4 linked regions of the Struthio camelus genome follow. The protein of the gene in region 2 binds, or shares a complex with, the protein of the main gene of each other region. Links are inferred from orthologs where the notes say so. Each region holds a gene or a part of one and is shown on either strand. Other genes may lie near its edges.

Region 1 (7,070 bases), on a different chromosome or scaffold from region 2:
CCCATCAGCCCCCTCTTCCCATGCTACAGCAGGGTTTGATGTGCACTGGAAGGACCTCAATGCACCCACAGATCATCATCTGGAGAGCCCTGCGGGCCATCAGCACCAAGAGAAATGGTCCCTTGCTCAGAGCACAAATTAGTTTTTCTTTCCCTGCGAACATGGATGGGGCTGAGCATGACAGGATTTGGGTTTGGATGTGCCACCACCAGTCCTAGATCCCTCTGATTGATGGGCAGACTGTTAGAGGGAAATTACATCCTTGGAGTCTTGCCCAAGAATCACAACCCATCCAGTCCTGAAGAGTTTGTATCACTGCTTCTTCCCACATAAACGCTGCTGTGTGACACTAAACTAAAAGGAGAGCAAAGTCAAAAGTCTACAGGCCAAGGACCTGAGAGGACTTTCCTATTTCACTGCCGCACCTGCCTGCTCTCCTCAATCTGCTTGTGGCTTCTTCTCTGCTCCTTCTCCTCCTCCTCCTCCTCTTCCTCAGCTGTCTTTGCCTCAGTATCTTCTCCAAGGGCCTCCCTGGGCAGAGAGAAGCAAAAGGGGAAAGGGATAGAACATTTGGCACAAGATCACCTTCCCAGCACCGAAAGGCCCACAGCTCTGTGTGTGGATCCCAGCGCAGACTGTTGAGTTCACCATAGCAATGTTTGGAGCAAAGATCTGACCTCATGGGTTTCATGTCAGATCCTGGGTGCCAGATCTCAGATCTTATTCGCAAGGTGAGAGGGCCCCATTTTTTTCACAAAGTAAAAAGGAAAGGTGATGCTGTTAAAAGCTCCACCAAACACACTTTGCTCTCTCCTCCCCCAGCAGGTCTAGCCCCAGGGTAGGAGGCCCTCCAAGATGTGGAAAGGAGGGAGGCAAGTGTGGACCAACCTGCCTGAGGGAAAACTCGTCCTGGCCCTCCCTTTCTGGAGCTTGAAGCAGAGCCTAGGTCTGGTTAGTGCCTGCAGCACAGCCCTGGGGGTCTGAGCCCAAGGGTTTGCTTCCCAGAGAAAGAGGTCAGGGGCTGAAAAGGTTGCATCTGAGGGAGTCCTTTTGTCACTGTGGGGGAGCTTGGCTCAGCCAGGGTCTCTGGATCCACTTCAGGGCTGGGTGAGGGGGTGGCACTGACCTCATTCTAATTCCACAGTCCAACCTAAAAGGAAGGCTCTGGGAGAACGAGCCTGTTCAGGGTGGGAAGGGTGTTACTGACCCAGGCTCAGCCTGGGGGGGGTAGGGTCAGCAGGCATCTATGCTACATATCATGTTCTGGTTCAGTCCAGTTTGGGCTAGAGATGGTGGTTACTGGCCCAGTTTGGTGGTACTGGCCAGGACTCAGTCAGACTAGCATGGGCTCTGGAGGGGGTGGCATTGCCCAGCCCCAGTTTGGCAGGGAGGAAGGGGGAGTTGCTCCAGGAGGTCTTGTCCTAGGGAGGTCCCCAAGCCTGTGCCAAGCCTGGGCTGGGGAAAGATGGAGCCCCTGAACCAGCCTCGGTTCAGGAGAGGGTGGCAGGCACTGCCTGTTGCTGGTTCTGTCCCCCCCTGCCTGGGGGGACAGCTACAGTTCAGGGAAGGATCCCAGTTCAGCCTGTATTTAGGGGAAGGTTTGCTCCATTGCTGGCAGATCCCAGTTTGGGGAAGGATGGGGATGTCACTGACTGGGGCCTGATCCAGGAGGCTACTGGCTTGGTACCAATTCGTTCCAAAGGGCAGAGGGTCACTGGCAGGGGGAAATTCTGGGGCAGGGGTATCACAGGGGTAGCTGGGCACAGGAAGGGAGGCCACAGGCCCCTCCTGAGGCACAAGATATTAACCCGGACTTGGTCTGGCAGCGAGTGAGGAGCGCTGACCAGGTCTGTGTCCAGGCTGCAGGCGTCTCTAGCCTGGTACTGGTTTGGGATAGGAGGTGGTCCCTGATCTGGTGCCATGTGGCAGGGCATGTCCTCAAGCTGGTGCTGGTTCAGGATGGGGGGTGGTCCCTGACCTAATGGTGGCTCAGGAAGCATGGTGGTCCCTGTCCTGGGGTCATTTAGCAGGGACAGGAGATGTCCTTGACTTGGGGCTGGTTTGGGAAGCAGGGTGGTCCGCCACCCAGCGACATCTGTCAGGGAGCAGGGAATGTCTCTGACCTGGTGCTGGTTCTGGATTCAGGGCAGTCTCTGACCCAGTGCCAGAAGCAGGGGGAAGGTCCTAGATCCAGTGAAGGTTAGCATGTGCAGGTCCCTGACCCAGTACTGGTTTGAAGTGGGGTCGTCCCCAACCCAGTACTAGTTCGGGGTGGGGGTCCTCAGTCCAGTACAGGTTTTGGGGAAGGGGAGAGGAGGGTGGCAGGTCAATGACCTCGTATCTGTTTGGGGTGGATGGTCCCTGACTGGGTGTCGGTTCTGGCTGACGGGGGTTGAGGACTGGGTGCCAGTGTGGGGGTTGTAGGGTGAGGCCCCGATCTGGTGCCAGTCACAGGGAGGAGGTCACCCACGTCGGTTTGGGGGGGCTGGTGTGGGTCTGAGAGGGGTCTGCCCCCGGCGCCAGTTTGGGAAGGGCTGGTTCGGCAGGATGCATTTTTGACCCAGCATTGGTTTGCCAGAGTGAGCAGGGCGCCGGTACGGGCGGGGGGGGTCTGGGACCCGGTGCCGGTTAAAGGGGGCAGCCCCTGGCCCCAGTATGGGGTGGGGGGGGTCAGTTCCCGCCCGCTGCCGGTTCTGGGGGGAGGCCTGGACACAGTGGCGCTCCGGAAGGGCCCGAGCCGGAGCCAGGAGGAGGTAGAAGGTCCCGCACCAAGGATGGGAATGGCGGGTGGGGGGGGGCAGGCCGGGACCCGGTTCGCCAGTTTCTCACCGGCGCTTGGCCTCGAGGCGAGCAGCGATGCGGCGGCGACGCGCCGCAATGCGCTCCTCGGGCCCGGGGGCGCTGAGGGCCGGGCCCGAGCCCGGGCCCAGGTCCCGCCGCCGCCGCCGCCACCATGGCGCCGCCGCCTCCGCGCCCTCACCGCGGCTCATGCGGCCCCACGTCGCACGGCAACGCGGCCACCGCGCATGCGCGCTGCCGCCTCCCCGTCCGCGCCGCCGTTAGCGCTGCCCCCGTCGCATGGCAACGCCGCCACCGCGCATGCGCATCTCAGTCTCTCCCCCCCATCCCGCGCCGCGGCTCACGCGGCCCCGCGTTACGCGGTCACGCTGCCACTGCGCACGCACGTCGCCCGGCAACGCAGGGGCCGCCAACGCGCATGCGCGCTGCGGCAACGGCTGCCTCACGGGTGGCCGCGCTGAGGGGTCGGGGCGGGAGGGCGGTAGGCGCGGGGGCTGGTGCTAAGGAAATGCGACACTGCAGTGACACTTCACTGGTGTCCCGTGTCACGGGAGTCACCGTGTCACCGACCGCTGACAGTTGTGGGCGGGGCAGGGACAAGTTTGAGTCTGCTCCGGGCAAGGGGAGCCCTCACGCAAGCTGTGCCTCAGCGCTGACAGGCCAAGGCCAAGCACAGAATAGGCAGTGGGGATGGTTGCGTGGGGAAGAAAAAAGTTTGAGAGTATGTGTGAGAGGATAGCAGGAGAAAAAGGGTGAGGGAAAGCCAGCCCTGTGTCCTGGGCTGCATTGGGACCCCCAGCCAGGACATTCCCATGAACATTTTCCTCGGTGTCCCTACCCCGAGGAGAGCGCGCTGTCCTCAGAGCAGCAGGTTTCACCCCGCGAGGGTCCCCTCCTGCGGACGTGGTGCCCGCTGTGCCAGGCTGCTCAGTGGTGTCCAAAAAGCCAGGGCAATACTTGGGCCTGCTGAAGCCAGGAGCTTTCTTCCTCTGTGCTTCACAGCCGGCATCCTTCCCTCCTTGTCCTGGTGAGCACCAGGTGCTGGCAGTGGAGGAGAAGGGGTTGTTCTGCAGTCCCAAGGCAGCCAGGTGTGATCATGTCAGCCTCATCCCTGTGTTAGAGAAGGAAATTGTAGCTGACTTAGCTTCAGTTCAGCATAAGTCTGACTCTTGCTTAGCATAAGTGCCTAAAGTAGATGAAGCCTGCAGGCCTCAAGGCCAAACTGTCAATGAACTCACAAACATTGCTGATGATGTAACATTGCTGAGGATGTAACTGTACAACCAATTCAAACTAGCTAATAAAGATACAAAACTAGCTAATGAGGTCACAAAGTAGAATGCTGGAGACAAGATAGGATGCACCTGGGTTGTGGTTGACCTTCAAGAAGATAAGAGACTGTGGGAAACAAGGACATAGCAACCAGCCTGGGATGAAGGCCAAGACCAGACAGAAGAAGAGAGACGCCAATCAGAAGGAGAGGGACCACAGACTCAGTAAAGAAGATTGGAGGAGACCTTCACTGACAGGCAGGGAAATCAAACTGTAAAGGGTATAATTACCCCAGAATTGCTTTGTTCGGGGTGCCTCTCCGGAGGCACCAACTCGAGCTGTTGCTATGCTGTACTGTCATTTAAATAAATAATTAATTTTGCTGCAATACGTGCATGAGACTCTGCTCCTCGGAAACCTACAGTCAAACTGTTTCCATAACACCTCGTCACCTCAGCTCTCTCATCCCAGAGCCAGAGGACCAGGTTCCCCAGCCCAGCACAGCCATGCCACCTCTGAGATTTGCAGAAGTTGTGGTGGCTCCATCTGCACCAGGAACTCAACCTTGACCGGGCCTGGGCAGTGTGCTTTGCCCCGTCCCCCAAGGATGTCCTGTCCTGTTCTGTGCTCTGTCCCCCTTGTTCTGGTCTCCCTTCCCTGTGTCCCTCTTGTGTCTCTCTCTTGCCACTGGGAGAAGCTCAGCTTGGGTTTTAAGCAGGTGTACTGGTTGTGTGTGCTCTCTGCTCTTAAGTGGGCTGGGTGGGACAGGAGCCATATGTAACTGAAAGGCAAAGGGTGTTGGGGAAGGGAGTCAGGCTTGTTCAAGGCCTTTGGAAGGGCCACACAGATGATTTAGGGACTTCCTGATACAGGTGATAGAGGAGCCAATGAGGAGAGGACCTCATACTTACAAACAAGGAAGGGCTGGTTGGAGACGTGAAGGCTGGGGGTAACCTTGGCTGCAGTAACCATGCCTGGGTGGTGCTGGATTGGGAGAGGGAGGATAGGCTATGGTGTGAAGGCACAGGCTGAACTGGGGTCTAACACCATCCCCAGTGCTGGTATGGGGCAGGAGCCCTGAATTTTCGATTGGTTGGTGGGGGTGGTGTGTCTCTCTGTCCGAGCATTGTTTTATGTTGTGCATGGGTCGTGAAGCTGGCAGTGGTAGGCGGGGGGGGACTCTGGGCATGCAGATCCATCTCCCAGCAGTGCTTTGTCTCATGGCGCATGGCAATATGCCCCTTGGGCTCATGCTGCTCTGGTCCCGCCATGTTGCTCAGCAAGACTGGCACCGCACATGCGGAGTCAGGGAAGCCCTGCACGGCAGTCACACCAAGAACTGGTGGATGGCGGGTAGCAATGAGGTCTGATGCTGAGGGAAGCAGGAGCATCAACATTCAGGGTCCAAAGACCCTCGCTCTGGCCAATGGCTCTGAAGGGCAGAGCCGATTTCGCCAGTCAAGGACGACCTCGGGGTCATTGTGAGACGTGGGCATCCCTCATCCTCCATGTTATAATAGTGATTGTGGTCAGGTCCCCAAGACATTGATGTGGGGATGATTTTTAGGCCTACGGGTAGGAGAGTGGGAGAAGGTGAAATCTTGGGGGAACGGCTGGGAGTGGGTCAAGGGAATTCACTTCAAGGTTTGGTCAAGAAAGATCAGGCTCCTCACCCATAAGTTCCCACATGTACTTTTATTACAAGCATTGCTTACACGTCCATGACCATGGCGTTGAAGAGCGCATGGATTTCAGCCTCACGAGCACGCAGCTGGTGCTGCTGCTCTGCTCCAGCGGTGCCTGTGGGTGCTGAGCTCTCTGCTCCTGGAAGCCAGCCCGGCTTCCTCCGGACGCGTCTGTCCACCCTGCTCCGCAGCCCGCTCCACCATCTCTGCAGGCGCTGCATGTTTCTGCCCTGCCCCACGCACTTGTAGTCAGTGAAAGGCACAGGCTTACAGGCAGCTCTCCGGAGCCTGGTGAGAGCAGCACGGGAGGGTGGCTGTGCCCATGGGGGCAAGGGCACCGTGGGGGTTGGTGATGGAGAAGACCCCCTCTGCCCAGCTCTCTGCAGGTCTGTCGTGCTGGTGGAGACAGAGCACGTGGATGCCTGCTTTGCAGGAGGAGCCCTTTCCTTCCACCCAGCCTGGCCCTTGAGCCTTCCCCCTCGTGGCTTCTGTCCCTCCTGTGTCCCCTGTGCCTCTGTGAGCGGGGCTGCTGCCTGTGACAGAGATGACAGCCACAAGCCCTTGCTGTCCGATGAGCTGCCGTGCAGAGAAACACCTCGCTGCTTGCAACCTCTCCTGGAGCCGGCCATTTGTGGGAGCTTCTGTGTTATTTCCCATTTGTACACTGCCTTCCTGTTGATTGTCAGCTCAAAGCCCAGCCCCAGTTGGACCTGGATGTTCGTTCCCTCAATCTCCATGTTCACGAAGAGGAGGAAAGCAGCCAGCATGGCCATGTCCTGGGCGGCTGTGGGCCGGTTGTGGTGTGGGCAGCTGTTAGTGAGGCACCAGCAGCACTGCAGGCAGACGGGGTATTCCTCCATCACGTCTCTGCACAGAAGGGGAGTCTCACGCGCCATTTTTCTGCTCATCAGCTTGCCGAGCAGATTGACAGCAATTTGGGTGGTGTCAAGGGACCTCCTGAGGCATCTGGCAAGCTCTTCCACATTGGCGATGGGAATGCAGGTCCCTGAGGGTCTTGGAGCTCGTGGCAGCACAGACAGCTCCCTCTGGACTGGTGACTCCTGTGTCGCAGGGCATCTTTCTTGGGAAGTGCCTGTGCTCTGTGTTGAGAGCTTCTCAGTCATCAGGCACCCATTCCAGCAGCACTGGTTGGCCAGGAACTCTTCCAAAGCTTTGTCCTCCTCACATGCTTTGCAGCAGCAGTGTATGTCTTTGGAGGCACGGGATAAGCCTGCCCCAGCAGGATAAGGCGGCTGAGGGAGGTGCCAGGCATCTTCCTCCAAACGGGAACGGCTGTGCCAGGGGAGAAAAGGG
Region 2 (7,404 bases):
TGTAAGCCGTGGCCCTGGAGTGTCTACATGGTGTCTGGCTACTGTTGCCTTGGCCATGGGGCTGTTTCTGATGGAACTGCAGCCCTTTCTTACTGGTGCGATAGGGGACTTGAGGGGCTCCATGGTGAGGTAATCAGAGACAAAGCTGGCACAGCCTTCCCAGTGGTACAGCTCTGTATAAGGCAGGAGGGTTGGTCTCACCGTTGTGCTCACAAACTTCTGTAGGGCAACAAGAAGACTTTGGTTAGCTAGCAGATTCCTGTCCCCTCTCCAAAGCTATCCTTAGACCACCCCTGGATGATGCAGCTCACATTCAGGACGTCCCTAGAGCATATCAACAGCATCGTTAGCCCTCCACACGCATTCTGAGATGGAAAACGCTTGGCTTTGAGAGGCCATCTGCTAAAGGACATTTCTGTTTGTCTGCGGCTAAATATTCAAACTCATCTCAGTCACATTACAGATGCGAGAGATTTCTGCTCTTCGTTTTCAAGTAAGACAAACAGCTACTGCTCTTTCCAGCTTCTACACCCTCTGGCATTTTTTGCTTTGCATGACATTGATACAAATGTTGGGGGAAGTTGATCCAAAGTAGCATGCTTGGGGGAGTATCAGATCCAGAACTAGACAGCAGCTGTGCAGCTTGGGCCCAGTTCTATTACAAATTCAAACCACAAACCTCCACGTGTAAATCTATCCTGAATAAATTCTGGGAACCTTGGAATACGACCTAAATCTGGATCCAAATTCCATAGCTCTGAGCCTGAGTCTGGGTAGAAACTCATATATTTCACATGTTTCTTTTACTTTCCTTCTTTATGTTTCTGTTGTCTTTCCTGTTTCCCACATGTCGTGTTGCAGGGCTGTTAGCTGCATGAGGCCTGCGTGTACACCGCTGCTGTGTCAGTGATCAGATGGGTTGGTGGATATGGACAGCTAGGGTATTACTGGGGTGCTGTGTGTCTCACTCACGTGTGTGCAGTGAGTGGGTTTCCATTCCCTTTGGCCAGGAGGGAGGGCAGATAGGGCTGCTGTCCTTACCCACTGCTCGGTACTAATGGAAGCTGATTGCCCCATGTGCTGTGGCCCAGCCTTCCACCATCCCGTACCTCCACACCACACTCATTGACTGGGTGAAGGAGAAGCGGCTCGCGGTCGGGGCAGAGGTGAGCGTACTGCTGAAGGAAGTTGTCGGCAATGCGTAGCAGCTTCTTTTCCTTTGAGGAATTTGTCTTGTAGGAAGATGGTAACTCGGACGTGTCAATGGAACTCCAGTCAAAATCGCTTCAAGGGCAGGAGGAGACAGAGAGAGACACAGGTAACAAGCAGAGAACGATTCAGGCAGAATGAGCCGCTGTGTAAATGCAGCCGAGACTTCCTGTTTCCCAGGGAAAAGTGGGGAATCATAGGCAAAGAAGCAGAATTTGAAGTAGGAAGGCATCAATTTTGACATAGCCAAGCTTCCCTGGAGTGATGGTGAACTGATATAGACCTAGAGGCTCGGGGAGATTGGTATATAATGTCTTGATAGAGCAGTGAACAGTTGAAAAAAAACTGTGTTATCTTCTTACTCACTCATGTGCCCACTTCTGGACAAACACATTTGGGATACCAGGCACACAGAAACATGCACATCCCTGCACATGGGGACCACACATGCCATTCACACATGTGCAGGCCCCCAGAAATGTTCCCCTCCCCACAGACTGCAAAGGGACATCCCTTGCTCATCACAATAAGGGAAAAACACATGCAACTTACGGTACATCATTTGGTGTGCAGGCTTGGTCTACAGACAACTTCCTCTCCACATCATGCTGTTTATCACTGATCTCCAAAGCTTTCAGCTCTTCTTCCTCTCTCTGCTCCTCTTCCTCATTCTCTTTTAGGACCTCCATCCTGCCTCCTCCTCGGCACTAGAGAAGAGTACAGAGCAGGGTGAGTTTGGGAGTGGGATCAGATATACAGTAATGCAGAAACACTCCCACAGTCTGGGCTGAATGATGTAGTGTGTGAGCATGGCTGAGGCATCCAGAAGCGCAGTTCCTATTTCTGCGACACAAAAGGACGAATGCTGAATTTGAATTTGGACTTGGCCCAGTGAATACATGGCTGAGAGGTGTTGCTTTGGAAATCAGGTGGCAGCATCAGGCTCAGGACCCTTTCACCCAGGCCTTGCCTCCAGCTGGCACCATTGCCAGCTGCTTCAGAGAAGTCGTGCCACCAGGGGCTCTGATGCCTTCCAAAACGCTTGACCTCTTTTACCTTTACTATGATAATTCTGCATGTTCCCAGGCCACCCTGGCCAAGGGAGGAGGAGGGCTATTCACCCCTGGCCTCCTGTCCAGGAGAAAACGGAGAGCCTTGCTCGGTGGGGCATCACACATCCCCAGGTTGCAGTCTCAGACCTCACTGTATCCCCCACTCCAGGGAGGTGCTGCCGGGTGGCAAGGGGCTCTGAAAATCAGCCAAGCACCTGGGCCCGGCTGGTCCTGCTCGCTGCTGGGCTGTGCTAGGCCGGGCTGGCAGCCCAGCGCTCTGCGGGGGCCTTAAGGGACGAGGAGTTTTTGCAGCAAAATAAACAGAGAAGAGCCACAGCCCAAGGACAGCACTATATATTGCAGGGAGTTTGAGGGTTGAGGAGGGGGCTGGGGTTGTTTTTTCCCCTCCCTTCTTGCGGTCAAACTGACCCCAGCGCGGAGGAGATAGCGCCTGAAAATGGAGACGCAGACCTTGTCTTTATCAGGCCGTGCTCGGGTGGCAAGTATGCCTGGCATGCAGGGAGGGGGCGGTGGGACGGCAGCCCCGCGGGGCCCGCAAGGACGGAGGGGTTGACCGGGGGGACCCGAGCGTCACGGCCACCTCACCGGCCCCCGCCCGCTGCCCCGCGGGGCCTGCGCCCCCAGCCCCGGCCGCCACCGCCGCCTCACCCTCCCGCTGCTCCCGGCGCTCCATGGCAACCGGCCCGCGTGCGCCGCAGAGCTGCCCTTGGCGCTGCCGCCCCAGCAGGCCCCGGGCCACCACCGGCCAGGCCACCGGCCACCCACGGCCCCAGGCGGGCCACCACCAGCTGCCCCCAGGCGGGCTGCCGGCCACCCACGGCCCCAGGCGGGCCACCACCAGCTGCCCCCAGGCGGGCTGCCGGCCACCCACGGCCCCAGGCGGGCCACCACCAGCTGCCCCCAGGCGGGCTGCCGGCCACCCACGGCCCCAGGCGGGCCACCACCGGCCAGGCCACCGGCCACCCACGGCCCCAGGCGGGCCACCACCAGCTGCCCCCAGGCGGGCCGCCGGCCACCCACGGCCCCAGGCGGGCCACCACCAGCTGCCCCCAGGCGGGCCGCCGGCCACCCACGGCCCCAGGCGGGCCACCACCAGCTGCCCCCAGCGGGCTGCCGGCCACCCACGGCCCCAGGCGGGCCACCACCAGCTGCCCCCAGCGGGCTGCCGGCCACCCACGGCCCCAGGCGGGCCACCACCGGCCACCCACGGCCCCAGGCGGGCCACCACCAGCTGCCCCCAGGCGGGCTGCCGGCCACCCGCAGCCCCAGCTGGGCCACCACCGGCTGGGCCACCGGCCACCCGCAGCCCCGGGCTGGCCACCCCCGGCTCTGAGGCCTCCTCAGGGCTCCCTGGGCTCGGCCGCCCCCAGCCACCGGCCACCCTGCCGCCGACCTGCCGCCCGCCCAAGCGTCTCCCAGCCGCTGGGCACGCGGCTCTTGCCCCCTTCCTCGCCTCGTCGTTTGGGCAGAAGGTGGGTTTCCTTTGGCATGCTGTCGTTCCCCCCCGCCTCTGGCAAATGTTTGTGCGAAACGAGTTGGGAACAGGCGGAAAGCATTGAGGACATGCTCCTCAGCAGCACCAGGGTGCACGGACCCCTGGGCAAGTGAGCAAACAGCCCCAACCCAACCATACCAGCTCAGTACTGCTTTGCCATCAGGTCCTCTGAAATGATGGGGCCGCCTTTAACCTCATGAGTTTTACTCTTTGCTTTTTAAAAAAAACCAAAAATCGTCATCCTTTTTCTTTGCTGCTTTCTAAGCCTGCAGGCTGCGCTACCTTTGCATCACTAAGTTATTAAACACAAGCATCACTGCTGGTTAATTCCTTTGTAAAATGTGTAATGCAAAGCAGAGTGTCTCACCCCAAATCTGGCAACAGGGACTTGCAGGAGGCTTTTGTTTTGTTTTTAATTATTAGTTCATTAGGCTCTCAGTTGGGTCAGGTTCTAAACAGTTTTGTTTTCTGGTTTTCATTGTGGTTAGGAAAACAAAATGCATCTAGCTGGCTATATTTTTGTAGCTGGTGTTCTATTGGACTGACTGTAGCAATTAAAACTCTAAGGGTGCACAGAATATAGCAAGCCATGCAATAAAAATGGTGAGAATATGGGCAAAGTTGCAGTTAGGCTGTTTTGAATTATTTTCATTTGAATATGTTTGCTATGTCCAGCAGTATCCTAGTTCATATAAAACATCATGAATCGTTTATTTGAGTGGCTGCTGTTCCTTGCAGGTTGTTATTTCCCAAATAAACATGAAGAATGGTAGGAGTAAGCCCTTATCCCTCTGTCCCTCACAGTATTTCTCACCAGATCTTACATTTCAGAAGTCATTAAAAAACAGCCAAAGCAAACGTACATGTGCTTGCTAAGCCATGTGCGTTTAGTACACAGTTATTTGGCGTTCTTCTGTGGGGCTCTGGGATCTATTGTTATTGCTGAGTGCAAAACAGGTTCCACAAAAACATTTGGATGCATAAAAACCTAGACTCTCGAGGATATTGCAAACACTTCTATGTGGCATCCTACCGGGGCCATAAATTGGCTGAGCATTCACAAGCTCTGAGCTAAGAGGAAGGTCTGTGCACAAGGATGAACATTTGGAGAGCTCTTTCCTTCCCAGCTGCTGCTGAAGGATGCTAGGGCGGCTCTTGTGCAATCGCTGAGAAAGCGTGTTTGCGTGGGGGAGCAGGATGAGCTGCTGGAAGGTGATATAAGGCGCGCGGCAGGGAGAACGAGAAGGACCCGTGGGCAGTTGTGGGTGGATGAGCTTAGATTGGCCTGGCAATGGTGAGTAGAATGACAACAGATGAAATCTTTCTGTTGAGGATGTTGGTGGGATCTCTCAGGATCACTACTCATGAAGTCACAGATTTCTTTTCCTAGAAAGCAATTTGCAAGTAGGCAGCAACTCCTGTCTCCTTAAAAAGGCAGACAGAGCTTCCTAAATCTGTCCAGATCATCATGCCGAGCTGGAGATGAAAGGGGTCATGATCCCATCACAGGGGGGCTCTTTGCCCAGTCCTTCCCGCCTGTGCAGAGGCAGCCAGGGCCAGGCTGGAGCACCCCCAGCTGCACAACCTTCCTGGCAGTTGGAATCAGTCTTCAGGGACTGTGCTTTGGGAGTAATGCCCTGCTGAGACAGGTGCTTCTACCTGGTGTTTTGGGTCTCAAGAGCTTTGCAAAGCAGGTAGCTTTGCTGCAATGACTAAGGAGCAAAGCTGGGAATAAATCCTCCTTGCCTAGATTTTTGGTGTTTGCAGCTGCTTCATATAGGCTGTGGGAATATACAGTTTGCTGCCAGATGGGGATGGAGGTTTTGCTCTTTACTTTGCCCTACTTTAAGCGCGCATGCAAAGTGCAGGACAAAGGCAGATCGGAGCATTGCTCTAGCCACCAGCCCAAGCTGACTCATATCCATGTTTCTGATAAGGACACTCCAGTTTCGAGGGCTCATCCAGCACCACAGTGTTAATTTCTCTAAAGAAACCTGTTATCTGACCTAGCAGGGGAGATTTGCTGGGGGAGGGAGTGAGACTTCATTGACTTTATCTGTGAGCAAGATAGAGGTGAGCTATAGGTTTTATAGCATACATTTTGGTTGTGTTCAAGGCTTTTTGTTTTAATCCCATTGTCTCCCTTGTTCTGAAAAAGGGTGACTGGAAAGGCAAGGATCCTCTTGCAAATTCTAAACTTCAAGAGAGAGCTATGGCAGTGGTGAGGAGAGTAGAAAACTCATTTCCTCTTTTGGGAGCCTGGATTTATGCCTCCACTGTGTGGTTTTACTCAAAGTGCTGTTTTGTACTGAAATACAGCTTTAACATTGTCAGCAGGGATGTGCTAACCTGAGATCTGGTTTCTCCCAACCCTTCTTTCTGACATAGCCCTTCAGGGTTCAGCTCTACACCATCTAAATTCAGGACAATATTTGGACCTTATCTTAGCCTAGTGGACTGAATGAGGGGTTTTGCCACCTGATTTCCAAAGGGGTTTTCCTGGCTCTTGCGCGTAGGAAATGGCTTTATGCCATTGAACTTGTAGTTATTACAGGAAATATAGTACAGAAATATAGTATGCTTGAGGGTTGGCTCTTTCTGAATGATTAACATCATCTCCAGCGAGCATGCTAGAAAACTGAGCAACCTGCTTCTTTTTACAGTATGGGACTGTGACATATTTGCTGCTGCTTCCTACCCTCTGTCTGGCTGTCTCTGAAGGCAACAAGAGTGAGTCGTCCTGTTTATTGTCCCTGCTGGGTTACAGCCAAGTAGTGTGGAAAGAAGAGGTCAAATCCTTACCTGATCTGTGTCTGGGTTGCTCGTTCAGGACACCACTGAAGCTGCTAAAGGGGGACAACAAAGTGATGCTCTGGAGGGCAGGAACTGGGAAGCCAAAGCAAAATAAGCAGACGCCTCAGGCACTCCATCCCAGCCATACATAGCCTAAAATCCATGGAGATGGGCACAGGCACTGCCCAGATTACAGACAAGGGAATTCAGCTGTGCTTAAAAGGGTCTGCCAAGTTCTCAGTCACACAAACATCCTTCTGGGCAAGCTGAGGTGGGAGGTTCTTCCTCAGATGTAATAGCACAGTGGCAATGTGACCCTGTTGTGGCTAGAAGCAGGTATCTCAGCCCTTGTGAGCTGGGCAGGGGGAATCACACTGCAGGGGGAGTTCACTCTAGTGCATCTTGTAGGGTAAATATTCTTGCTGCATTTCAACTTCCTCATATTGCTTTTGCTATAGCTGAACTGATGAGCCCAAAAGGCAGAAGGGAACAGTTTGCTATCCGCCTGAAGAGAAACCTGAATGCCTGCCTACCAAACCCATGCCAGCACCAGGGGGACTGCCAGGTGTTGGAGGACAGATCGATCTGCAACTGCAAACCAGGCTTCAGAGGGGCATTCTGCCAAGGTAAGGTAGGGGCTGGGGATGCCAGTGAGCCATTCCCAGTCTGTCCACAAGCACCAAAGGGAAGAGTGGAGGGGAGGATGCACTGGTGTTATCACTGTTCCTAGTCAACGAGGGCCTATGTCTCCACTGAGAGCCCCATGAGCACAATCTGGCTTCTGGTCCAGGTGCGTGCCTCCCCACCATGTCCTGACTGCAGGCTGGTATGAGC
Region 3 (7,419 bases), on a different chromosome or scaffold from region 2:
GACAAGATCTCCAAAGCTAGCAAAGGGAACAGAGTTAGTTAGTTTCCAAGATGCTTTGGAAACCTCTCACAGTTCCTCCGTGAACCTGTGAATAAGGTCAGAGATTGAATGAGCCATGCTGAGACCCACCAGCACTGTAATTTGAGGAAGCTTCCACAGGTGCTGCCCCATCTGAACAGGATCCAAAGTCAGAGCCACTGGAAACAGCCCACTGGCTTCATCAAGTTTGCATTAGGCTCAGAGGGACAGTCCTGGGGACTCAGCTCAGTGGGCTGCCTGCAAAAGAAATACTCATCTGGGACCAGTAAAACAGGTTTATTCATTATGCACTGGACAAGTTGCCAAATGGCACATAACAATCTCAAGTGTCTCAATTCACAGATCTCCAGGGAGTGGAGAGAATTCAGGCCCTTGTCTGCATTAGCACCATTCAGTGCAGTGCAGAACTTTCCTCTCTGACCCCTCTTGCTGAAAGGAGGGGGAAAAAAAAGCATACATATAAAACAAGGAATTGCTTGTCAAGAGTTCAGGGCTCAAATTCTGGCTCAGCCCAAGGTCTTGGGCATGTCCATTAGTTTACCTCTGTTGCTTTCTTTGCAAAAAATAAACATATGTTATCACACATTAATTATAAATGTTCTAAGGTTGCTAGTATTATAGAGTTGGAAGTCATAGAAATGTTGCTTTTAAGCAAGAGTGAAGGCTGAGTAGATATTAAAAATGCATTTTAATACTACTGCATTAATGACAAAATGCTATTGCAGCAATTTGTGCCTGTTCTACATCTCCTTTTTAAACTCGGTGATTTCCAAGGTGATTTAAACTGCCAGTGAGAAGACGATAAAAACATGTGAAATTTAAGTTTAAAAATCAAGCATGCAATAAGCCTTTTAAATTATATTTTGAAATGAAGTAAGTGTATTTTACTTTAGGATCTGGTTTACAAACCATTTTTGGAACTTCCTGTCTAGGGTCTGCAAGAAAAGGATTATTTCCTAGTTTACCAAAATTTTGCCTCATTGACCCTTTGTTAGAAAGCATATTCCCACAATATCATACCTTTTCATCTCGAGACTGGGTTGTTGCTGCCAGTTCTGCCTTTAAAGCTGTGAGTGTTTCAGTGTTTTTTGTAATCCGGCGGGAGATGTTTTCCATGAACTGAATCTTTTCTTTCTCTTCTAAGAGACTAGTCAGCAGTCTCTCATGCATGAAATTCCTGAACTCCCTAAAGGCCTTGATAAACGCTTCAGCTGATGACTGCTTTGCACAGACTTCATATTTCAGAGCCTGACAAAGTGAAGGGTTGGCGAGCAAGCGTCTCAGAATATTTCTAACAGAACTTTTCAGATGTTGCTCTAGCAAGCAAAGACAGTCCCTCTGTTCCTCTGCTCTTGACGTGTCCTCTTCTTGAAAGCTGGAGAGTAGGTCCTCCACTTTGCTTGAAAGCTTTTGGTGCTCAATCAGGTCATTTGTGATCGCAGGGCCCAGCATATCAGCAAACCTATCCAGAGAGTCAATAATACAAGGGATCAAACTGCTCAGCTCCAGCTTGACAATCGTCTCATCCAAGACAGATATGATTCTTTGGGTCTCACGAGTATTAAGTTTTGACCGACTTCGATCTAACATCTTCTTGGCATCTAATCCGATCACTTCCTTATTTGGAGTTTGAACGCCTTTTATCAAGGGCTTATTTCTTTGCTTCGTGTCCCGAGATGATCCTTGGAGCACAGTTGGATTCCCTGTTGCCATGGCTTCGGTTAAATAATTCTGAGCTGAGTCTTCTGAGGTCTAGAAGGGACACAAAGAGTAAGACCACAGAGAATGACTCAGTCGAAGTACATCAAGGTCCCTCTGCTGCTTCTGTGGCAAATTCTTCTTCCTCAGATTTTATCTTTAAAATAAAGTTTGGTGAGAGCATTAGAGAAACAACATTATTTGGGAAAACGTGGGAGTTTCAGATTACACTCTAGTTGTCCCTAGGTCTAGGCACACAATAAGGGCATTGGGGTTTTACATTAGAAGTGATCTCTATCCCAGAGATGCTGTTAAACGTCCAAATGTACCAGAACGCCCATGGGAAAGGAAGAAAACTAATAACCTCCCTACTTTGAAGGATGGTGAGGAGAAAGCTCCCAGCTCCTTCTAAGTAGCAGGTGAGATGGAGATCACCGATTGCAGCTCTACAATGTTTACAGGTGCATGGGGGGGGGGGGGGGGGGCTTGCAGGTCTCTAGGGCCACCTCAGAAGGAAGGGCAGGTTTCCTGGTGGGAAACATGCACCTTCATCAGTTCAGGCCTGGTGCTGCTGGAGGGAGGAAGTGCAAGAGCTGATCCCCGCCTGGAGGGGCTGTGCTGGCAAGGACAAGGGCCAGGGGAAGGGACAGTGAGGGGGCAGAGGGCAGCCGCATGTGGGAGGGTGACAGAGAGTCAAGGGTCCTCTGGCTGTGTGTATGGGGGCACGAGTGCCAGGGGATCCCAGGGATCCCCCGGGCATGGGTCAAGGGGAGATTCAGGGAGCTTGGGGGGGGGGGGGGAATCCCCTGTGCGTGGGTTGTGGGAGTGGGGTGCCAGGGGTCCCCCAAGTGTGGGTCCAGGCCTGTTGGGGGTCCAGGCCTGAGGGGAGAGATGACCAGGGTGTATCTTGGCAGGGAGAAGGGGGAAGAGGGAAGGCGGGGGGGGGGGGGGGTGAAGGCCCAGGTATGTGAAGGGCCAGGGTGTATCTTGGGGGGTCAGGACCCGGGGGTGCTGGGGCCCAAGGACCCCGGGGGGCAGAGGCCCGGGGTGTGTTGCAGGGCCTTGGGGGTCGGGGGCACAGAGGCCCCGGGGGGTATCATGGCGGGGGGGGGGGTCGGGACGGGGGAGGGGAGGCCCGGGGTCGGGTCCGGGGAGGGGAGGCCCGGGGCCGGCGCGGGGGGTCTCCGGGGCCCTGCGGGCGCTACCCGGGCTCCGCTCGGCCCGCCGCCACCGCCGCTCCCGGCCCGCCCGGCCGCCGCCGGAGTCCTCGGGTTGCTAGGCGACCGAGCGCGGCGGGGAGGGGCAGGTCCCCTCCGACAGCCTATGGCGCCTGCTCCACTTCAGGGGCCGCAACACCTCGAGCCACTCAGCGTTCTCCCCCGCGCTTGATGGGCAGCGCGACTGTCCAATGAGAAGGCCACCTGAGGGCGCCGGGCCGCGGGAGCGAGCCGCGGCGGCGCGGGGAGCCGCCATCTTGGCTGGGGCTGGGGGCGTGAAGGCGGCCGCCCCCGCGGAGCGCTGAAGAGCGGTGCTGCGGACACAGAGAGGCGAGGGAGGCAGAAACGTGCATCAGTGGAAAGGGAACGGGGGTTTTCCGCAGCCTGGTCAGCCCTTGCTTTATTTTTGTAACGGCTGCTTACCAGGCGGGGAACAGGCCAGGCAAAGCAAGTCTCCCTGAAGGATTTGGCATCGTCCTCTGCGAGCAGATCCGGGCTCACAGCTCGCCTTCCCGCCAGGCCCCCGGGACACCAGGCAGCGTGTTCCTAAGAGCTCGAAAAATAAGCCGAAAAGTAAACTTCGTAACCCCCTTCCCCAGACTCAAGTCTCCTAGGCCCTCCGCACACAGAAAAGAGCAAAGGCAAAGTAGGGGAAGCACTTTTGCGAGCCCGTGCTCACATCCCCGTCCCCTCTCAAAGGGTTTCCTGCGTAACCGTCATCGCCACGTCTCAGCGCCGCCACTGACCTCAGGAACAAGACGTCAGGAGTAGCAGGTCATCACCGCTGCAAGCCACCTGCCGCCGCCGCACTGGAAACGGACCCTTTGCCTGGGCCCTGATGGAAAGACCGCTCCAGAGCAGGGACGTGGTGCTGCTAAAAAGATCTTTCAGGGGCGCAGAGTGCACGTACGCATCGGTCAGGCCACGGTTACAGAAATTCAGATCATGTAGCAAAATTAGACTGGGCAGAATATAAAGTCTGTGGGGATTTTAAATGTAAGACCATCAGCAACCAAGAAATTACCCTAACTGTACTGTTAAGGAAAAGTAATTTTATATCACACTGCATTCAGTGCTATTAAAATGCTAATAAACTCTGGAAGGCTTCTGCTGATTAAGATGCAGATGCCACACATGCACAATTAGTTGATTAGCCATGAATTAGCGACGTCTGTAGAGAACATACTGGCCCATCAAAACTCAGTGCAAGTCCTGTCCTCACACTGCTGAGGGATCAGCAGGAGGCATCCATGTGGGGAGAGAAAGGCTTGGGTTTCCGGGAGGAAACTTGGCAAAATGCCCAAAGCCAGCGCTAGTCCTAGTGACATGTTTCTGTCTGAAGAGGAAGGAGTAAGTGCTAAGCAATGGCACAGCAGCTGTGGGACCCCACGGACAGCATCATCTGGCATCTCTGCTGCGGCGCTGCATAGAGTCTGCTCACGTCAACAAGAACATTTACTTATTTCTGGGCTTAGCCTGTTTGAGCCAGTGAATAAATCCCCAGCGCTGGAGACTGTGCCCAGCACTGGTCCAGCGCATCTCTTGGCTATTATTCCCTGCACAACGCAAACTAGGATCTGGTGATGGGAGATGGAGTAGGAGTACCAGGGCCAGACTCTCAAAGCCAGGCCCCTGCGAGGATGGATGGGAGGAAAGCACCCCTGGGAAGCAGTTCCTTACGTACAGGTCAGGGACTGCTCGTGCAGTGGCTGAGCTGCCTCCTGCTCCCAGCAACCAAGTCAAAGGAGGAGGAACGGCGCTAATGTTGCCATGATCCCTTCCTTCCCTCTGCCTGGGACCATGCAAGTGCAGAGCCACAAACAGGGGACGGCTCCCTGGTTAGTGTGCCTGGGCTCAGCACAGCACAGGTTCAGAGGAAGGTCCGGCTGGGATTCAGTGCAATGGTAAGTCTGGTTCAAGTCAAAAATGCTGCAGCCACCAGCACAACACCCTAAGTTGGTTCACCCAGCCAGCTGTGGGGTGGGGTGGTAGCTCTAACTCTGTGTGTGGGACAGTCTGTCTTCAGCTTCCAGCAAAAGCACAGAGCTGTCCAGAAGCACCTTCTCTTGTGCCCTAATTTGGCACTTGTGATTATGTCAGCTCCAAATCAGCGTGGCTGTGCTGGCTGAGCAGGAGACCCACAGCTTTAGCACAGCAGGGCCATAAAATCAGAAAGATAGTGTGCCGCTGATTGGATGTTTTCCTAATGGCATACTGCGGTCATCGCAGCACAGAGAAATAGCCCTGGAGACATAGAGAGCTGCTTCTTTTCCTGCCAAGGATTTCAGGAGCGAACCCTGACCCCAGTGAAAGGCTGCCACTCCCCTGTAGACGTTTTGGCAATTAAATCAGTCTTGAAAAAAATGTCTTTTTCTTTCCAAAGCTGATGAGTCCAGATTGCCTCATATGAAATGGGCAACTGCTCTCGGAGAAGTGGAAACTCCAGCTTCCTTACAGCCATGACCTGGAGACAGGATCAACTGCTGTGAGCAATTGTCAGCTGAGAGTCCCGCGTGCCCATGCACGTGGCCTGCCTGGAGGGACAGAAGCATTTTGGAACATACAGAGGAGAGAGGAAGAAAAGGGTGAGCCTGTGGGTCGCGTCCAGACCTCCTCTTAGCTAGGGAAACCCATGGAGCACTGCAACTCCCTTCTGGATGCTAATTAGAGATATCTCAAACTTGCAGGCTGCAGTGGGGGTGATGGCATGTGCTCAGAGCAGCCTCACTCGTCCTGCAGCTTCCAGTACCACCTCCAGGCCGGGAGCAGCTTTTCTGCCAGGAATGAAACCAGGCTGCTTTGGGAGCTGTACGAAATGTCACCAAAACTGTGTGTCGTCCCTTCCTCTTGTCCAGGATGTAGAAAAACCTCAGATCGGTCCTGAAACAATTCAGCCTGCAAACAAACCGGCCCAGCCTGCATCAGGACCCAGAGCTCCAGCACATCCAAAGGTGCTCGGGAATCAGAACTGTATGGGCAAGGGAGCTGTGCTGGGTACACCTGATCAGGAAAGGGGGAGCTGAGAGGCTCTGCGTGTGGGTACAGCCCAGGCATGCTGTCCCCCACTGTTCAAGTCCAGCTGTGTTCAGATGCAAAGGTCTCTGTATATCCCTTGTAACTAAACAGCTGAACATCAAAGGCCTGCTTGGCCCCGTCTGCCTTTTCACCTCCCCATTTGAACCACTCTTCAGACGCAGAATTTTTAACTACTCACTGAAAGGCAGTAATTGGCTCATCCTTCTCCATTGTGGCAAAGAGAAGGCAAGGTTCGGCATGTGTGAGCAAGCAGGCTCTGCTGATCAGCGTGGAAAGCTGTGATCCTCTGCAATTTGGGTTTATCCAAATCAGTTCCTTGCCTTGTGCTACCACCCATCCATATGTGGGTCAACGGAAGGAACAGCAGGGAGGGGAGTATATTGCACCAGTTAAAACTGATTGTGAAACGACAGCAAAAGAGCAGAGGCACACGAAGATGCCAGGCTGCAAGGTTATCGTACCCAGGCCCAGTGTTACTGTAGGGACAGTCCCCTCTCTTCTTGGCCCTGACTGCAGGTCCCTGCCACTAACTTTGTGTTGGCTGTAGCCAGAATGCAGCTGCGGGGAGGCAGAACTTGTTCACTGAGAGCATCTTCTGCTCTTCTGCACACCAGCTCTGAAGCCGTGAACTCCCATCGTGCTCTCAGCACCGAGCTATACTGCTGAGCCGAAGTGGACTGCGTTTGGAGGGCTGAGAGCACTTCACAGGCTGCCACCACCAGCAACCTGGGGTATCACCACAACAGACACCGCGTGAGGAGCTGCATCCTCAGGATGCCCTGGCAGGAGCCAGTTGCACTCATTGCTGTGGTGTGCTGAGCCTTGCATGATGCACTGCTGGGAACATGGAGCTTTGGCACCAAAACAGGCCCTAGGGAATCTGCGGGACTGCCTGATCCCTGACCGCTGCACCCTGCTGCAGCTCTCGCTTGTTTTTACTAGTTCCCGTGTCTTGCTATGAGTCATTGCCAAGGGCATGCTCTTCATCTGTGTTGTGAGCAGGTGGGAGTGACCTGAACTTCCTCTTGCCCCCAGGAACCTGTTAGAAACACTCTGGTGAGGCTCTGGGAACATCATTAAAAATAACAGTATTGTGTCCCTTTCCTAGTGCTTATTTTCCATTTATTGGGGGAGGGAGAGAGAACATTTCATCACTCTTGTTATATGCAGAATTGTCTTTGACCTGCATTCCTTCCACATCCCTTGCCAGCTAATGGGTTGAATGCAGGTTAGCTAGCGCATGACAGGGCTTCGCAAACACCACTTTCAGGTTAATAGTTCCTATTTCTGTGGTGACCTCCATGCATAAGGGCCCAGAGCAGTTTGGGGTTGCACAGAGAAAATGAGACCCACCGCACTAAGGAACACCACTGGTATGAAGCGTTACAGCTGCTTGTTCACACAGAGCAAGACAGCAAAACAGGCTGAG
Region 4 (7,867 bases), on a different chromosome or scaffold from region 2:
CAGATAGGAAGAAATATCAGTGCCACTGTATAAGACACCACTAAACTCAGATAAGGCACTGCGCGTGTTTCTAGTCATTTGTGTTCAAAAACATGCAGAGACAGAGGAAGACTAGTGGGGTGATTGGAGGAACGGAGAATCTGTTTTACAAGAGGTTAAACGACTTGAGGAGTGTGATTACTCTCTGTAAATATATTTGAAGGGCAGATACTAGGGAGGGACAGAGCTATTTAAGTTAAAAGATAATACTGTTACAAGGTCAAAGGAGTATGATTTCCTCATGAATACACTTAGCCAGGCAGTTACGATGAGGTTTCTAACTTTCAGAAAGATCAAGATAATGGCAGAGGCACCCTAAACTATTTTAAGAACCTTGCTAAAACCATGGCAGAAAAGGTAACAGCAAAGGAGTGATTCCAAATACTTTCAATAGGCTTACTATCCTTCCTGTACTACTTATATTTATTTAAATAACTAATCTCACTCTTTAGGGCTTTTGATTGTGACCTTTAACTTAGGAAGTGATTTCCTCCCTTTGCTTCTGAGATTTTTTTCTCTCCTTTCTCTGGATTATAAGAAATGTGCTACAGCTTGAGATAGGAATCTGATAAAATGATTAACTAAAGGTAGCTAATAATCTGTATAACAGTAATAAACGTCACTTTTCTTTTCACACTTGGCATTAATAGTAGAAATGGAGATGCAAGTTCATCTGAGTTAAGTATTTTTACACAGAGAAAGTCAGACAGTCTCTTTACAGTTAACAGGCACTAGTTAATTGTTATGTAAATTTGTTTTACCTTTTTTTAAAAAGAAATCATGATATTTCAGGTCTAAACAACATGAGAATAGTCTCTTACATGTTCAGCCCGAATGATAAAAATTTGGAGAAAACAGATTTCTTGAGAGAGCTGTGACAAATGATTACAACAACATTTTTGAAAGAAGAAATAACACTTGCAGCTCTCATAGGAAAAAGTGACTTATTTGGAAACAGCGGAGGATGCAATGGCTTTTCCTGTACCCCATCAGCAACTTCTGTCCAGGAGAGAATTAACTCAAGATATTTATGTGTTTTAAGAAATCACACAGCTGGAATGTAATGTTTCTTTAAAGCCTCCTATTTGCTCCTCCTATATATTTCCTCTTATATCCGTATACTCAGCAGATGCTTGTGCCAAGCCAGTAAGCTCTGCCTGGGCTTATGTTGACTTGGAAGTGAGAAGGAAACCACTGTCTGGGGCATTTAGAAACACTGCAAATAGTGAGCTGCTCTCACTAGATTTTAGCATGAATGCAGTGCCCACAGACCATCCTGATTCAGTCACTGACATTGACCTAAATCACTGTACTTTGCTCAACTCCTTCGTTAAACTCTATTAACGAAAAAGAGGTATGTGGAAGACTGAGCTTCCCCCAAGAGTTTAGGCTGACATTCTTTCCCTGCTGTTCTAAAGAAAAAGAAAAACATATCAAGAAATAATTTTAAAAACAACTGTATAAAAAGTCTGGCCTACTGTTCCTTCCTTGGGGAATTGTAACTCCCTCTGCTGTGTGAGAGCCCTGCATGTACATTTCTCCCATCCTGCTGCCTGATAAACTGAAAAGGCTGCAAAGACAGTAGGCTTTTAGGCAGCATTTCTGCAGCATCCTCTTTAGTCAGTTAAGAAGTAGCAATACGGATGAATTCCACTGAGAAAATTCAAAGCTGAGAATGTCACATCTCCTTTAGCTCTGTTTTGCAAACATACTGTCAAAGTGAAACCTCTGAGTTCCCACAGTGGCAGAACTGGACCATACAGCATATCTTAGCTTTTCTAGAACAACGTCTATTAGGCGAGCAAAGCCGCTGTGGTCTTACTAAACTCTACTACTACAAATGTTAGAAAATAAGTTGCTCGTTTGAAAAAAGAGAAAATAAAACTTGATAAATTAAAGTAATCTTGGTTTTGGCTTTGAGATGCCATCCAGGCTTTGTTCCGACTGTAGAAAAACATTTTCAGCTCCTGCTCTCTGAGACTGTACCGATGAGACGCTAGAACTAAGTGCAAAGAATAAAAGACGTGGTGCTACTCTTAGCTCTATTATGGGACTTAATCTGTATGGGACAGGAGAAGACCAGAGTTAGGGAACATTTATTGGTTGTGGCATCAGTACTGTTGGAAAAGTGAGTGTTTGGACAGTTGGTTTGTTCCCCTCGAAGCAGGGATCGTGTCCTTTCTCTGACCAGAGAGGTTCCTAGCAGGCTCTTTGCTCCTAGTAAGTAGGTCACCGAGCATTACTGGGCTTGCTGCCTCTTCCTTCAAGCAGAAGCCAACACAGGAATTGGGAGAGTCAAAACACCCCCTCCCCTCTCCGCTCCTCCTCCCCAGCCATTTTATCTGTCTAAGAAAGATCCCTGCTTATGCACGCTCACAAGGCATGGCGTGCTGCTACCCTGGCCCAGCAAAGTGCAGACAGACTCAGTTTTCTCACGGGATCAGGATCCACTTCCTCAGCCCAGGTTGGAGCCCTCAGAGCCCGGCTGACGAGGTGACGAGATGACACCAGGTTTAGTTACCAAGGTTAACTGCGTCATACAAGCACGGAGGGCACAGGCTCAGGTGCAGTTTAAGACACTTCGGAGCAAAGTTGCAATGCAAGGCAGGGTGGCGAGGGTACATTTGAAACGGGAATTAGGTTCCCGCATCCCTTAAAGCGCTCTGTAGACGCACCTGAATGCCTGGCCCTGCGAGGGAAGCGGCAGAAAGCAGCCGGGAACGACGCCGACGCGCGGAAACAGGTAAGTACGCGCTCACGTCTGCTCTTATTCGGTAAAACACCGCAACGTGAGACTTCACAGGCGTGGCGGTTCCCCGCCAGCAAGGTGACAGGCGGGTACAGCGGACGCCGAGATGGCCCCCGGCCCGGCCCGGCGCGGCGGTGACGGCCCCCTCGGCCCGGCCCGCCGCTCACCGGGGCTTCGCGCCCGCGGCGTCCGTCTCCATGGTGACCGCCGGGGACCTTTTGGGGCTGCCCCTGTGGGTGCCTGCAAGGCCGGATGAGAGCCCCCCCCCCCCGCATTTCGGCCCGTGGGAGCAAGGGGAAAGCGAGCGTTGGGCTGAGGAGGGGCCGCCTGGGGCTTTGTTACCACTTGCGGCGTCTTAGCTTTCTCCACCCAGGCGGCACCGTGGCCACCCACGGGGGGAGGGGGGTCCACGCCGGCCCATATCCCGGCAGGCCGCGCGGCTGTTCTCTCTTTCGCCGCCATCTTGGCTCGGCGCCGCGGGGGTGAGGCGGGAGCGGCGGCGCGGGGCTGAGGGGGCCGCTTCCCCCCCCCTCCCCCCCCCCCAAGCCATGGGGCTGCCGGCGGGCGCGGGGCACTCGGGGCGCTGCGGCTGGCGCCGAGCGGAGGCGGCGGCGGGCGGGATGGCGCCGATGCGTGGCGGATGGTCCCGGGTGCCGTTGGGAGCCCGCAGCTGAGGGGGGGCGAGGCGTTCGGGCCGTCCCGTCCCGTTCGGGGGGGGGGGGGAGCAGGCGGCCTTGGCGGCCCGCGGGCGGCAGCACCCGTCGTGGGGAGGTTGGCGGCCGCTCTGCCGCTGTCGCCGGCCGTGGTGTGGGCGGCCCCGGCCCGCCGGCTGTGGCGGCCGGGTGTCCCGGGCCCGGCGGAGCAGGCCGAGGCGGCTGCCGCCCGGCCGGCAGGCAGGGGCTGCCGGGTGAGCTGTCGGCCCGAGGCGCTCATGGCTCATTGTGTCGTTTCTAGGCCTGCTGGACCAGGGCTTCAGGAGGACGCCATGAGCGGGAGGTGAGTGACCTGCCCCGATACGGGGTCTCGGCTCGCTGTGACAGCCGCACTTTTGGCAGGTGGTCTTGTAAACGGAGTATTCCCGAGTGTGTACCGTCAAACAGTGATTCGTGTTTCCTGTGGCTGCCCCTTTTTCTGGACAAGTTCTCTGTCTGACGCTGTGCTGTGCCTGCTTTGTTAAACACCTATGGTTGTGTCTCCACTACCTTAAACTGGTTGTAATTGTTCATATGATGTGCCAGGCTTTCCAGTGCCTGGCTTTTGATGCTGAACATTAGTGTGGTTTCAGTTATCACGGTGTTTAAGAGCCTGCAGTGTACAGTACAGGTTTTCCCATACTGTTTTCTTAAGTAAGAGAGGTACTGTGACACCACAATTTTTTAATGGACGTAGGGAGTGTTAATACTGCATGTGCCAGAAAAATGAAAACTGAATTACAGTGTCTTGTTTTGATATGCTTGGGTTTATCTTATGCACATACGGGAGATAAAACTAGATAAGTCAGTTTGACGTTGTAATATTATGGGCCAGTTGGCATATGCAGTTGAGACTAGTTATATTTTCTATGTGATATATAGAATCAGCCATGTAATTGCTTGAAGTGGGTGGGACAAACAGGTCTTTGTCATGAAAAATTGTTGGGGTGATAGTATAATGTAATTTGTCCATTGGATGTGGACGGAGTGACTGTCCCCAGAGACTGCAGTTAATTCCTTTGAGGCTGCAAAGTTGTGTTACGATGGACAACAGTTAATATCTTCTCCTATAGCAGTTAGTACAGCACAGGAGACTGTCACGTTAGTGTGATGTATTGAAAACAGTAACGTTTACCCATGCCAAAAACAGTTTGCAAATGTTTGAAAATATAACATATGCTAATATTGAAAGGCTTTGCTCTTGGTATGAAGGCTGTAGTAGAAAGAGAAGTTTATAACAAAGAAAGTTATAGAGTTCTTAAATGCTTCAGGCTCCAGGTACTTTTCTCCGTTGACTGGCTGTAAGGGTTTGTAGAAATCTATATAAACGAAACTTTATTTTTTCATCAACTAAACTTCTCCTGGTGTAAAAATAGTTCCTTCTGAAACAGAACATTATTTGTTTTTTGCATCTAATACCTTGGAGTGATTTATCATTTATCAATGTTTTTAGGTTGTGGTCCAAGGCCATTTTTGCTGGCTACAAACGTGGCCTCCGAAACCAGAGGGAGCACACTGCCCTTCTGAAAATTGAGGGGGTTTATGCCCGGCAGGAAACAGAGTTTTACTTGGGCAAAAGATGTGCCTACGTGTACAAAGCTAAAAAGTAAGTAACTTTTCGTTGTTGTGCTAAATTAGAAACTCCTATATCAGCTTTTGCAAAGGCTGGGATGTGATCAGTCACTTCTTGTTGTGACAAAAATAAGTTGAGCTGAGCTTGTCAACAGGCTGTCCGTGGAGTGTTTTGTAGAGTAGTTTCCTTGGTTGGTCTCAGTTTAAAGTTTTTCAGGATGTGTCTGCTTTAAGTGACCTTTGTGTTGTTAATTCAGATCGTGTATTTATATGGGAATAGCTTTGCTCTTAGAAACACTATATTAACAAGTGGGATAACAAATTTTGCTTCTGAGGCTAGCAGAGCTGAAGGCAAGCTGATAATGCAGTATATTGGAGTTAGCTGAATTGGTGTTGATCACTATGACATTTCAATTATTTAAATGGCCGAAGAACATTACATGAAGCCTGGAGTGCAGCCTGAAGGAGTTTGAATCCTGAGCTGCTTTTGCGTGCCTGTGTCAGAGCAATGTCACTTCTGCTATACTGGTGTTGGTGGAGGCCTTAGAGTAGTTGCTTATGCCTTTCTACTTAGTGTGTAATTGTGAGAGCTAGATGCAAGAGTTCAGAGTTGCACTGAATAAAATTGGTCAGGCTATTTGCGTGTTGATCTTCGTTTCCAAGGTGGTTTATGCCTTTTTTTTTTTTTAAAGCAATTTTCGCAGTCTATCCCGGTGCCTTAGGCCGCTCTTGCCCTTTGGTGTATCTGGAGAAATCTTAGAACATGTTACTTTTTTTTTGTAGTAACAGCTTATGAGTTTTCATGTTGATTATCTTAACATCCAGTGATTTTTTTTTTTTCATCATCTTAAGGTTATGTCTCATTAGTAGCTCTGCAGTGGAGCTGCTGATAAATTACTAGCCACGATATTCCCTCCATGTGGAGGGCGTAGTGGAAATTACAGCCGTAACAGTTTCCAAGGGCACATGAAAGTGGAAGTTGATCCAATTAAAAATGACTGGAATACAATTATGGAAGTGCCTTAAAGAGGCTACGTTGTCTGTCCCATCACTGGTCAGTCTTGCGCAGAGTCAAGACTGAGATGCTCAGAATTTTTTTTCGCTGTTTCTTTAGCAACACTGTAACCCCCGGTGGTAAGCCCAACAGGACACGAGTGATTTGGGGGAAGGTAACCCGCGCCCATGGGAACAGTGGCATGGTTCGTGCTAAGTTCCGTTCCAACCTTCCTGCCAAGGCCATTGGACACAGAATCCGAGTGGTAAGTGGATATATTTTAGCAACAAGATGTTTTTTGATAGTGTTTTTGGGATGTGTTTTAATCTCCCAGAGTACGAGGGAGAGCTTGGAATATACATATGACTTCGTTCTGTTACTACTGTGTGTTCAACATGGCCCTGTGGTAAGTGCTCCTTTTGGAGCTAGAAGAGGTTTAGCACTGGCTTCTTGTGTTGAGAGGACTGGTCTCATTGTTGAGGGGTTTGTATGCTTATTCAAGTTGACTGCAAAGGCTTTTTAAGTTCCTAAATTCTTCCTCAACTCCTTTCTAAAGCCATTTTGATTCCTCTTCCCTAAATCTTGTGCGTGTTCTTTTTATATGCTTCCTATTCTCCATTTCCTACCATTGGCAAGGGAGCTATGACATCAGTTTTCCTTTTCTCTTGCAAACACTTTCACTGAGGGCTCCGCAGTCTTGCGGCAGTAGGACCTGTTCAACAATTTGTTTGGTCACAAGGCTTCAGTGAAACTTTCCCTTTTGGGCCATCACCCAGGCTTTTCATGCAGGATCTTGCTAGTGATACTGTCAAGAGGAGCGTCAGAAAGATGCGATCCTTACTTTTCATGTTTTTCCTGTGCCTTACAAAAAGCGTGGTAGGAACAGCATGGTTAAAGCCTGAAAGTAGGCTCATGAGCATCTCCTCCTCTCAGTGAATGGAAGGGCTGGCTGCATGGGGAGGGAGCCTCTCTGCCAGCAAAGTGATACTTCAAGTCTTTGAACCAATTGCTAGGCTTTTTTTTATTCTTGCACCTCTTCTGTGAAAATTGGGGCCTGTTTTTGTAGTAGTTGGGGATCCATGATTGTAGAATGCAACTGCAAGATTTGTTTGAAACAGTACAGTGCAGTAACAAGATTTCTAACATGATTCTGTTTGTTTTTTACAGATGCTGTATCCATCTAGGATCTAAATTTTTATTGGAAATAAAATGTGGAATCTGTTTCATTTTTGTACACTTGTGTTTTTATCCCCTCTAACTGTTCTGAAGAATTTTTTTTTGGGTAGTGTATCAGAATCCACAGCACAGTGATGCAGTAGTGAGTCTGAACTAGGTGTTTAAAATGGAGATTTGATCTATCCTTGGCTAGCTACTCATGGAGCGGACTACATCCTGGAGACAAATAACTAGCAGCCTTTACTGTGACCTGTCTCTGCCTCCCATCATGGAATCTGAGTGATTTACAAAGCCGAACAATAAATGTTTACAACTTTGTAGACTGCACACAAGTAGAAAATAAGAAATATTTCCTTGCCTACCTAGTGGAGGGAAACCTCCTAAATTCCTGTTTCCCTTGTGTTAGGCAAAGACTGCTGTTGAGATAAAAGTGGTATATGTAATAGAGATTTAAATCCTAGCAGGTGTAAATCCTTTTAGCGCTCACCTAAAAATAGTTGTTTTAGTAGGATTACAAAGAATGAGACTGCAGATATCCTGGGCATTGTGCATGTTATTAACATCTGCTCTGTTTAATTTAGTTACATACCTGTCTCAGTTTTTATCACATGCAACTCCATAGTGCACAAGTTTAATACTGGTTTC

What was found.
Region 1: DRC7 (region 2) and DRC1 share a complex: the UniProt entries of both Homo sapiens proteins name them as parts of the nexin-dynein regulatory complex. The link is inferred for Struthio camelus from reciprocal best matches to the Homo sapiens genes DRC7 and DRC1.
Region 3: DRC7 (region 2) and IQCD share a complex: the UniProt entries of both Homo sapiens proteins name them as parts of the nexin-dynein regulatory complex. The link is inferred for Struthio camelus from reciprocal best matches to the Homo sapiens genes DRC7 and DRC10.
Region 4: DRC7 (region 2) and IQCG share a complex: the UniProt entries of both Homo sapiens proteins name them as parts of the nexin-dynein regulatory complex. The link is inferred for Struthio camelus from reciprocal best matches to the Homo sapiens genes DRC7 and DRC9.

The regions. Positions count from the first base shown.
Region 1 is NC_090944.1:8,795,385-8,802,454, reverse strand, and holds the start of DRC1 (dynein regulatory complex protein 1), read right to left. Parts: upstream 3,017-7,070; 5' UTR 2,991-3,016; coding exon 2,830-2,990; intron 532-2,829; coding exon 426-531; intron 1-425. UniProt on the Homo sapiens protein: Component of the nexin-dynein regulatory complex (N-DRC) a key regulator of ciliary/flagellar motility which maintains the alignment and integrity of the distal axoneme and regulates microtubule sliding in motile axonemes.
Region 2 is NC_090951.1:30,152,065-30,159,468, reverse strand, and holds the start of DRC7 (dynein regulatory complex subunit 7), read right to left. Parts: upstream 3,009-7,404; 5' UTR 2,931-3,008; intron 2,765-2,930; exon of another isoform or gene 2,761-2,764; coding exon of another isoform or gene 2,719-2,760; exon of another isoform or gene 2,477-2,718; intron 1,917-2,476; 5' UTR 1,899-1,916; coding exon 1,762-1,898; intron 1,285-1,761; coding exon 1,110-1,284; intron 220-1,109; coding exon 94-219; intron 1-93. Other genes in the region: uromodulin, read left to right, coding at 2,719-2,760, 6,441-6,507, 7,029-7,196. UniProt on the Homo sapiens protein: Component of the nexin-dynein regulatory complex (N-DRC) a key regulator of ciliary/flagellar motility which maintains the alignment and integrity of the distal axoneme and regulates microtubule sliding in motile axonemes.
Region 3 is NC_090958.1:4,675,148-4,682,566, forward strand, and holds the start of IQCD (dynein regulatory complex protein 10), read right to left. Parts: upstream 3,019-7,419; 5' UTR 2,943-3,018; intron 2,602-2,942; exon of another isoform or gene 2,102-2,601; intron 1,895-2,101; 5' UTR 1,753-1,894; coding exon 1,060-1,752; intron 1-1,059. UniProt on the Homo sapiens protein: Component of the nexin-dynein regulatory complex (N-DRC), a key regulator of ciliary/flagellar motility which maintains the alignment and integrity of the distal axoneme and regulates microtubule sliding in motile axonemes.
Region 4 is NC_090950.1:21,486,641-21,494,507, forward strand, and holds the start of IQCG (dynein regulatory complex protein 9), read right to left. Parts: upstream 3,003-7,867; 5' UTR 2,988-3,002; coding exon 2,956-2,987; exon of another isoform or gene 2,715-2,955; intron 1-2,714. Other genes in the region: RPL35A (large ribosomal subunit protein eL33), read left to right, coding at 3,041-3,270, 3,743-3,784, 4,934-5,086, 6,167-6,311, 7,214-7,237. UniProt on the Homo sapiens protein: Component of the nexin-dynein regulatory complex (N-DRC), a key regulator of ciliary/flagellar motility which maintains the alignment and integrity of the distal axoneme and regulates microtubule sliding in motile axonemes.